Linked DNA regions of Caenorhabditis elegans. The protein of the gene in region 2 purifies or fractionates together with the protein of the main gene of each other region. This does not show direct contact. Each region holds a gene or a part of one and is shown on either strand. Other genes may lie near its edges. The genes, in order: aco-1 and gsto-1.

Region 1 (6,049 bases), on a different chromosome or scaffold from region 2:
GTGTTGCATTTACTCACAAAAGATTATACTTCCTCCCGACTCTTCTATTTGTTTGATGAACGGCTAAGCGGTCAATTATTACAGTCTTCATTCATTTCTCTGGCAAAGAACGTAAAGTTATGCAAAATTTACTTATTTTGAAATAAAAATATCTTTTGCGCTGGCAAGGGTCTCATATTACTTTAGTGATGTTAGCTATAGGGCAACTGAGATTTTATTGGGTGAGTGTGCACTTTTAAATGGGACTGAATAGTACGAATGAACTGCTGAAATGTTAGTCTATAAAAAGTCAGTTCAGTACAAATAAATACCGTAATCTCTCTGTTCATTTTGTTCAAACAACTAGAATGTTTGAGCTTTTACACCCAATTTTGTTGTTCTCAATGAAGATGTTTTCTTATTTATTTATACTCTTATGACTGAGAGAACAAAAAATACAATTAGTGATGACGACCTTTAAGAAAAAGTTGCAAAATGTTATATCCTAAACACTGTCAAACTGGAAGCACATTTCTTTCTCCTATAAATAGTAGAAATACGTTATTTGTTGAGTTTTAGTAAAATATTACGAATTTAAGTGGTTTTAGCAAAACAGAGACGCCAAAACTAAAATAAATTTGACCATCCACATGTTTTATAGCCCAATTATAAAAAGTATTGATTTATTTCGTTGCTCCAAATCACAAATTTATTGGACTTCAAACATGTTCATAAAATATCACAGAAAATAGAGAAGGATTGATGCATCGAAAAGTAAATAGTTATCTAAAAATAGAAAAAATTGACTTTCAAAAATTTAAGCTAAAATAACAGTTTATTGGATCAACTTTCTGATCATGTATTGGAGGATTCCTCCGTTGCGGTAATAGGTGAGTTCGACTTCAGTGTCAAATCTACAGATGACTTGGAAAACTGAACCATTGGATACATTCACATCAATGAGCTGTCCTGGCTTCAAATCGTCTGGAACTCCAATTGAGAATTGTTCTTTTCCAGTAAGTCCGAGACTATCAGCGTTTTGACCAGCTTGATATTGGAATGGAATAATGCCCATTCCAATCAGGTTGGAACGATGAATTCTTTCGAAGCTTTCAGCGATAACAGCCTTGACTCCTTGGAGGAATGGCCCCTTTGCAGCCCAATCGCGAGATGAGCCACATCCATATTCTTTTCCAGCAAGAATGATGGCTGGAATTCCGGCATCCTTGTACTTTTGAGCAGCGTCAAAGATGTCGAGCTCTTCTCCAGATGGCACATGGAGTGTAATAGGACCAACCTTCGACGCAAGCTTATTAACAAGACGAATGTTGGCGAATGTTCCACGAGCCATGATCTGAAATTTAAAAAAAAACGTGATGTGTTGTTAAATTCAAAGTTTTTAGAAAATCATATATTGAATGAATAAACTCTTACCTCATCGTTACCACGGCGAGCTCCATAAGTGTTGAAATCTCTTGGCGTTACTCCACGTCCAGCAAGGAATCTGGCGGCGGGAGAGGTCTTCGAGATTGATCCAGCTGGAGAAATATGATCAGTGGTTACCGAGTCACCGAGATTCAACAAAACGTGTGCGTTTACAATATCGGATTGTGATGGAAGCTCGCTAGTCATTCCATCAAAGAATGGAACCTTCTTGATGTAAGTAGAGGCATCGTCCCATGGGTAAAGCTTGACAGCCGGGCACTCCAATTGTTGCCACTCCGTGGATCCAAGCTCAATGTTAGCGTACACCTCGCGGAAGAATTGTGGCTTCACGAATTCCTCCTCAAACTTGGCAACTTCTTTTCTGGTTGGCCAAATGTCGGCTAGTCGGATTTCCTTTCCGTCAGGAGTAACAGCAAGAACTCCGTTAATGTCAACATTGACGTTTCCGATGATCGAGTAAAGAACAGCCAAAGGTGGAGATGCCAAATAGTTAGCACGAACATGTGGGTGAATTCTTCCTTCAAAGTTTCTATTTCCAGAGAGAACTCCGGCAACGACAAGGTTATTCTGAATAAACAATTATTTTGAAAAGAAAACAGTAGTTTCAACAATACCTCTTCGATGGCCTTTGTTACTGGCTCATCAAGTGGCCCAGAGTTTCCGATGCATGTCATGCAACCATATCCAGCAATATTAAATCCAATCTTCTCAAGGTATGGAAGAAGACCAGATGCTTCCAGGTATTTTGTGACGACTCCTGATCCTGGAGAGAGGGATGTTTTCACATATGGTTGGACATTCAATCCCAACTCAACAGCCTTCTTGGCAACCAATCCAGCTGCGAGCATGACACTTGGGTTACTGGTGTTTGTGCAGGATGTGATGGCAGCAATAACTACGGATCTGGAAGAAACATTATTTTTTGCATGTACTTCTAATTTATAGTCTTACCCGTGAGTAAGCTCTGCGGTTCTTCCGTGGTTGGTAATTGTGACAGATTTAGTGGCATCTTCTGGTTTAAGGCCAAAAGCTTTGAAGGAGATCTTATCAGTGAGCCCTTTGGAGAAATCTTGAGCCAGAGAAGCAAGCTCAACTCTGTCATGTGGACGCTTAGGTCCGGAGACACTTGGCACTACACTTCCAAGGTCCAATTTCAAAGTGGTAGTGTATGTTGGGCGGTAGGAGTCATCGGTGAAATTGACGAACATGCCAACAGACTTGAGGTATTGTTCCACGCGTTGAGTATAATCGGTATCACGTCCGGTTTGAGTGAGGTAGTCAATGGTACGGCTATCGACTGGGAAGAATCCAATTGTTGCTCCATATTCGGGGCACATGTTAGCAATTGTTGCACGATCGGCGATGGAGAGCGATGCAACTCCAGTTCCAAAGAACTCAACAAACTTTCCAACAACTCCGAGATCACGAAGGTTCTTTGTGATTGTAAGAACCAAGTCGGTACTGGTAACGGTATCACTGAGAGTTCCAACCAATTCGTATCCAATAACTTCTGGAATAACCATGGAAATTGGCTGTCCGAGCATCACAGCTTCAGCTTCAATTCCTCCAACACCCCATCCAAGAACACCACTTCCATCAATCATTGTGGTGTGGGAGTCGGTTCCAACGACGGAGTCAGGGTAGAGAACGCCATCCTTTCCAACAAACACTGTTCTGGCAAGATATTCAAGATTAACCTGATGGACGATTCCAGATCCTGGCGGTACAATAAGAAGATTGTCGAAAGCTTTGGATCCCCACTGAAAATAATTTGATAATACAATTTCATTTAAGCTATCTGAATATTTGTGTGTTCATTGAACAAAGTAGTGATAAGGGCAATCAAATGCATAGCGTGATTTTCCGAAAAGTGATGGGGAGAGTAAAACGTGACAGTGAAACTCTGAAAGTGGCATTTTCACCTTTCCTTACCTTCAAAAAGTTGAAGCGTTCTCTGTTTCGCTCAAACTCAATGGACTGATTCTTGGCAAGGGCTTCAAGGCTGAAAAAAATACAATAAATGTATAAACCAGGTTGCGCAGAACGTACTTTCCGTAGTGATCGACTTGCACGGAGTGATCGATGACAAGGTCAACTGGGCATACTGGGTTGATCTTGGCCGGGTCAGCACCCATATTTTGAACGGCGTCACGCATAGCGGCAAGATCTACGACGGCTGGAACTCCACTGAAAATTGCTTGATGTACATAAATTTGGTAATTTATTTTCAAGCTCACGTAAAATCTTGGAGAATAACGCGTGCTGGTTTGAAAGGAATCTCAGCTTGGTTACGCTGGCTGTTTTTCCAATCAAGAATGGTTTCCACGTCCTTCTTCAATACATGGAACTCATCGCAATGACGAACTGCGGCTTCCAACAAGTACTTGATGGAGATTGGAAGCTCGTCTGAAAATTTTGGGAAGGTTTTTAAAGAAAATGATTTATATATGACTTTAACATAATGAATTTATTCTTGCTCGTCGAAATTCGCTGTTTTTTTTTTCGTTTACAAAAGTTCCAAAATTGAATATATGCAGATATATTTTAGATAGATTGAGAATAGGATGTAAAATAGTTATACTTACTGTAACGAGCATCATTGAGACCATTCAAGTCAAAGTATTTGTAGACGTTATCTCCGATAGCCAAGTTGCGGATAAGGTTGTTGAAAGCCATATCTGGAAAGTTAGATATGGAAAAAATTTAAAAAAAAAAGGATTTCGATAGAAAAGAACGACAAAAGTGCATTGTAATGAAAAAGAGAATGCGAGGAAAACTAATGGAGGCGTGCCGAATCGGTGTAGTCGACCTGTCCGTTTTTGTGTGTGTCTGAGCGCGCTTAGTGTGTGTGGCTGTATTGAATGTGAGAGCGTTTTGTGTATGTTGTGTATGTGTGTGTGTGTGCCAAGGTCGGTCGAAGATAGTCATCTTTCATATCAGCTAGGACGAAATTGCGTCGTTGTCCAGTGTTTCTAGAAGGCTAATGTCGAGAAAAAAGGCGGCGAGAAAAAACGATACCATCTCAGAACTCAAGAAACAGTCAAAAAAGGTAAATGTGCACAGTGAAATAGTGTGCGGTGGGAAGAGAAGAAGAGGGCCGATCTGCATACACGTTGCGTACTTGACCCAAGAGGTTACGACAATGTTGCAGTGTGGTTTTTTTGAGAATTGAAACAATGCGCTCTCAGACATATTGAGAGATAAAAAGAAAATTCAGAGATTTGTGTCCGATATTTTTTATCTTTTGTTATCATTGATATCAGATCATTTAAAAAAGATTATCAAGTGGGAGAACTTTGCACAGATTGATGGTGAGGTGGAAATTCCTTTGGGAAACTGAAGAGCAAAAATTCGTTTTATTTTTCAAAAAAAAAAACATTTGAAAAAATGCAATCGAATCCATGCTATAACTAAACTAATACACTAGAATCTAGAATCACTAGAATCTGTAGTTCACAAAATTCATAGAGTACGGAATTTCTGTTAGCGTGACTAAAATTTACTAAGTTAAAAAAACAGAAGATGTTTGAGCACAAGCTGGTTGGTTTTTTGATTGATATTTTTGTTTCATATGTCTCTGTTCTTCATGATAATTTACTATATATAATATAAAGCGCTTATTCTGTGTGTCCATAGTTTGTAGTCTATGTAGTCTTTGTAGTCTGTGAAGTTTTGACTTCTGGAGGGATAGTGAGTTGGGGTTAGTGTAGGGATATAGTCGGGGTACTGTAGTGGTACAATAGTGGTACGGTAGGAATACTGTAGGGTTACGGTAGTTTCATAAAAATTGATTTTCAGCCCTAGAAGTCGGGGGCCGCGCCGAAGGTGCGGACCACGGCTGGTTCATAATATTACAATTACCGTTTTTCATAGTTTACCGCGTATCATTGTATAACCATGTTTTATTCAGAAAGACTTTGCATATATATTTTTATTTGATCCCAAGTTGAGATTCATAGAAACGTATTTTATTAAAATTGGTCTCACAATCATTCCCCGTATTACCTCTAGTAGCCTTTTAAGTTGTAAAAAGCAAGACAAGTGCTAACATGTGTAAACGTTTTGAACAAGTCTAGGTTTATTTTTTCAGGAATTGAAGAATTATCTGAAAATTCTACAAGGTACGCCTTGTCTTGTCCCGAATTATTGAAATACTGATTGAAGTTCTAATATTAGGATGACTCTTAGAAATGCAAGAAAATTACACACTGTATAACTAATAGGGAGTACACTTGGTAAATGAATAACACTGTTAAAAATTCTGAAAACTACCAAAAAAAAAACTCGGCTTGTTTTTTTAAAAGTATTTTCGTGTGTTTCGATGATGTTGCATTAGACAGTGTCATAGTTCTACGCTGAGATCCTATTAATGTATTCACAACAACCTAGTCATCAGTGTACATCAGAAAAACGTAGGATTCGACGCTTGTTGTGACACACACTTGCCTTCTTTCCATTAAACCCCATCTATCCACTTCCGATGGGCCCTTCCGGCATGATAAGAAGTGAGTGGCTACATAAGACTTCACACCTCCTTCGGAGATTCATCAATCCAACTACTCCGAATTTTTTACATTTTACTTCTACATATATTGGAATTCGTTCCATCAACACATTCCTGTAA
Region 2 (4,165 bases):
ATACTTTGAATTCATCAACACGTCCTTCAACTTCATCACGCAGAGAATTAATATCTCTAACAATATGACTAATTGAGAAAAGAGATGAAAGAACTCCAAGAAGACAAATTGAAGCACCAATATAACCAATAGTCGACATGATTTTGAATCAGAATTCGCTGATTCCAAATGGAATTCAAATTCAGATAAATGCAATTACCCTCACATATCCTTTTTATACTCATTCTCTCGTAAACGCCCTTTGGCGGCGGCAAAAACTCGCCGAAAAACTTGATCCGATCGAAGAAAAAACCGAAAAAAAATTCGAATTGTTGTGTTGTTCGTCAGTTGGATGGAATGATGATGAAGGAAGTTGATTAATGGATATGACTGATGATTAGTGGTGGAATATGGAATAATTATTTATTTGATTTATTCTGATTATTCTGAATTAGAATGTATTTTCATATTTCAGGAAAAATGATTTTATTTCGAAACGAACTTGTTCTAGATTAAAAAAATTGAAATTTAATATTTAGTGCTATACAATTACAGTACCCCATGGAAATACACAAATATCATAAATACAAGAATTATCTTCCTGGAAGTTAAACTTATATTTTCGATGTAAGTGAAAAAGTTTAAAAGAGAAATGATGTTTGTTGATCTTCCTGTAAGTGGAAACTGGAGAATTCATAAGCTTAAAAATTCCAAAATATTAAAACTTGCGTGTTTTTTCTGAAAATCGATTAAAACAGCAATATTCAGCATGTTTCCAGAGCCAAAAAAACCTGCAAGCATGGGATACTTTTGCAGTTAAAAAATGTTTCAGGAACTTGAATGAAGTTAGGATGCATTTGAACAGAGTAATGAAATTATATGAAATTCATATGTAGACTCTCCTACTCAGTTGTTTGTATGTGAGTTTTGTATATTATAACTTATTTTGAAATTATCTTTAATTACTTGTAATGTTTTTTGTATGAGTTAAATAATAATCTTTTGAAAATTCTTTTTCAAATAACCATTTTCTGTTTAAAAAAACAGTGAGCCCAATATAAACTTGTTTTCCATCAAACCGAGCTTCTACCAAAGTTAACTTAAATTCCATAATTTTCACAAACCATTCATAGTTTGTCTACGTAGCCTTATCCTTTTTTGAACATTGAAAAAGTGAGGAGAAAGTGCGAAAAACGAGTTTTTTTCTTTCTCTTCTTCTTGGTCGTCACGTCAAGACACTCTGAACGTTGGAATGGGAAAAGCATCGAAGATCGAAAAATTCTGATTTTTTCTAAAGTACACAACTTATATTGATATTGCATTGGGATTTAAAAAAGCTCTACTCGAACATTTTGATTAATTTTAATATCTCATTTATTCATCTTTCGATAACAGATATATCACATTGTTCGGTAGGATAAAAGGGCTAAAATCAAGTTTTGAGGAATGTTCATTTGTTTGGAAGGTGATATTATAGTCTGCGATAACTACATAAGTTTGGAAACCGAACACATGTTTTTTTGGCACTTTGCTAAAAAGTTGTCTGAAAACGTTGGAAATCAATATTTGGTCATTTATTTAGGTCATTTTCGGACCATTATAAGTGTTTTCTAATACAAAACTGGCGCTGCTCCGCTATTTAAAAGACTGAAAGTGACATAAATGATCTAATTTCCAGATCTCTTATAACTTTTTTTATAGCGGTTCCACTCCTAATTTGATGTGTTTACTTGTTGCATCAGATCATTTTTCACTTCTTGTAATTCTTATCAGTTTTCTATATTTTCTTTCTTATCAATTTTTCAGCTTTTCAACATTTTCCAGTTAGTTATTCAATTTTTATTCCGCACGATCACTGCTGTTTGAATTCAAATATTGGAGTATTAAAATTATACATTTATAACCATTCTAATGTCTACCTTCTACACAAATTACCCTTCCTAGTAGAAAATATATTTTTGGCTTGAAATTTGTTCTGTACTGTCCAAATGTATTTTTCTGTAGAAAAATTCAAAATGTAGATGTTTATAGATGGTTTTAACCGGAGTAACATCAAAAGCAATTCGAAAAGGAGATGCGGAACCTCCGCTATCAAAGGGATCTTTTCGTGTCTACAACATGAGATTCTGTCCATGGGCTGAAAGAGCAATGCTTTATGTTGCAGCTAAAGGAATTGAGTGAGTAGTTTATTTATTTTATTAGTTTCTAAAATAGACATATGAAAAGTACTTTTTTAAGAAAAAAACCATTGAATTTTCAGAGCGGAGGTAGTCAATCTCAACGTAACTGACAAACTTGAATGGTACTGGACAAAACATTATCAGGGAAAGGCTCCAGCAGTAGAGCACAATGGAAAAGTGGTCATTGAGTCTGGATTTATTCCTGAATATTTGGATGATGCATTTCCAGAAACTCGTATTCTTCCAACTGACCCGTACGAAAAGGTGCAACAAAAGCTGCTAGCGGACAGGTTAACTGCGGTTTGGTTTTATTTTGTTTTTCAAAAGAAATAAAAAGTGTTATATATAAAAACAATAAACATGGTTTAAGACTAATGCAATGGCAATTATTTACCATTAGTTTCCTTCTATCCTAATTTTGGAAGTCGTCCAAAAAATGATTGTTTTATACGAGTTCTAAATTTCACTTTCCGAAATGCTCGAAATTACTAAAAGCACATTATTCGAAATTTGCCAATTTACCAGAACTTTAACTAAAACTTTTAAAATAAAAAAAAAGATCTGCACGTCTCTACAGTTGTTTTGAAGGCGCAGCGATACCAATACCTTTAAAAATGGAAGGAAACATACATAGTTTCTAATCCCCTTTTTGAACTTCCTCTAATATAAAAAATCAGTTATTCGCTCCGCCCATTTTTCAACCAATCAGATGAGTGTTTGGAGTCCAAAACTCTGATTGGTTTGAGAGTGGGCGTGGCTATTCATTTTGGAGGAAATTCAAATATGATCTTGAATTTTTCTATTTTCTAAACTATTTTGTTTTAAATAAGCAATTCAGGTAGCCCATGCAGTTCCATTGCTCTTCGCCGTCATGCGAGACCGAACTTTGAAAGATGAAAAGCAGCGAAAAGTTTTTGAAGTTTTGAAACAAGCTGAAAATCTCTTGGCCAATGATTTTTATGCTGGTGAGTTCAATTAATCGATACAATTTTTTGACCAAATTCAAACTATTCAGGATCTCAACCAGGTTATCCAGACTACTTATCATTTCCATTTTTTGAGAAAATTTGGTGGTCAGCTAGTTTGGATGGAGTTGTCGATTTACCAACAATTGAATTCCCAGGAGAAGAAGAATATCCTAAATTGACAAAATGGTTCCAGAAAATGATTTCTTCAGATGTTGTTCAATCCGTCACCCAATCTTTGGAACATGGCGCTGCATTCATGAACGCATATGCCACGCACCAGGAATTGAATTATGATTTGGGCCTTTGATATTAAAACCAGTCGATTTATTTTTAAGATTGAATAAAAAATGAAGGACGTAATTAAAAAACAATCAAAGAAATAGTGGTAATTCGTCGGAAAAAAAGTTATTGTACAGTCAGTAAAGTACCATAACGAACAGAAGAAAAATACTTGGCATCTAGAAGTTAATTAATTGATACAGTAAAATGAAAGTATAGCCAGAAATCGAGATACAAGTAGAGACAATGAGGAATGTTTAAATAAATTAAGATGGTTTTCGGGAGATTTAATGCAAAAAAAACAATAATTATAAATTAGGCATCAAGAGCGCCAGCCTCCTTGAACATTTCACAATGCATATCTCTTTTGAGTAGTGTGATTTTCATCGAGTTGATTCTTTCCTCGAGTGGCAGTTCCATGTCCTCGCTGACCATGACATTTCCGACATTACACATAAAGAGGCACGAAAGGAAGTATCGACTGATTTCGTACCATGGACGATCCATAACCAAATCTAGTAAACGTTTCGTGCCACCTTCAATATCGTATTGGCCAATGACAGCACGACCAACTGCGTGAACCTGAAAATTATTATAATTGAGAAATTCAAACATTTAGACATTTTGACTTTTCAAATTACTGTGGTTGACCAGAATATTAAAGGTGGAGTAGCGCCAGTGGGGAAATTGTTAAAAACCACTCCTTTGGTTCCAAAATGACCAAATATCATGATAAAACTTTTGAAAATTTTTTTATTT

What was found.
Region 1: the proteins of gsto-1 (region 2) and aco-1 fractionate together in Caenorhabditis elegans (co-fractionation; one large-scale study listed by BioGRID). This does not show direct contact.

Annotation. Positions count from the first base shown.
Region 1 is NC_003284.9:11,337,928-11,343,976, reverse strand, and holds aco-1 (Cytoplasmic aconitate hydratase), read right to left. Parts: upstream 4,104-6,049; 5' UTR 4,102-4,103; coding exon 4,011-4,101; intron 3,832-4,010; coding exon 3,663-3,831; intron 3,613-3,662; coding exon 3,475-3,612; intron 3,428-3,474; coding exon 3,358-3,427; intron 3,186-3,357; coding exon 2,377-3,185; intron 2,329-2,376; coding exon 2,040-2,328; intron 1,993-2,039; coding exon 1,414-1,992; intron 1,334-1,413; coding exon 815-1,333; 3' UTR 650-814; downstream 1-649. UniProt on the Caenorhabditis elegans protein: Catalyzes the isomerization of citrate to isocitrate via cis-aconitate. Has probably no RNA-binding activity.
Region 2 is NC_003281.10:7,944,864-7,949,028, reverse strand, and holds gsto-1 (Glutathione transferase omega-1), read left to right. Parts: upstream 1-2,010; coding exon 2,011-2,156; intron 2,157-2,239; coding exon 2,240-2,459; intron 2,460-2,997; coding exon 2,998-3,124; intron 3,125-3,174; coding exon 3,175-3,434; 3' UTR 3,435-3,487; downstream 3,488-4,165. Other genes in the region: col-90 (Putative cuticle collagen 90), read right to left, coding at 1-139; Condensin-2 complex subunit kle-2, read right to left, coding at 3,722-3,988. UniProt on the Caenorhabditis elegans protein: Exhibits glutathione-dependent thiol transferase activity. Has dehydroascorbate reductase activity and may contribute to the recycling of ascorbic acid. Participates in the biotransformation of inorganic arsenic and reduces monomethylarsonic acid (MMA).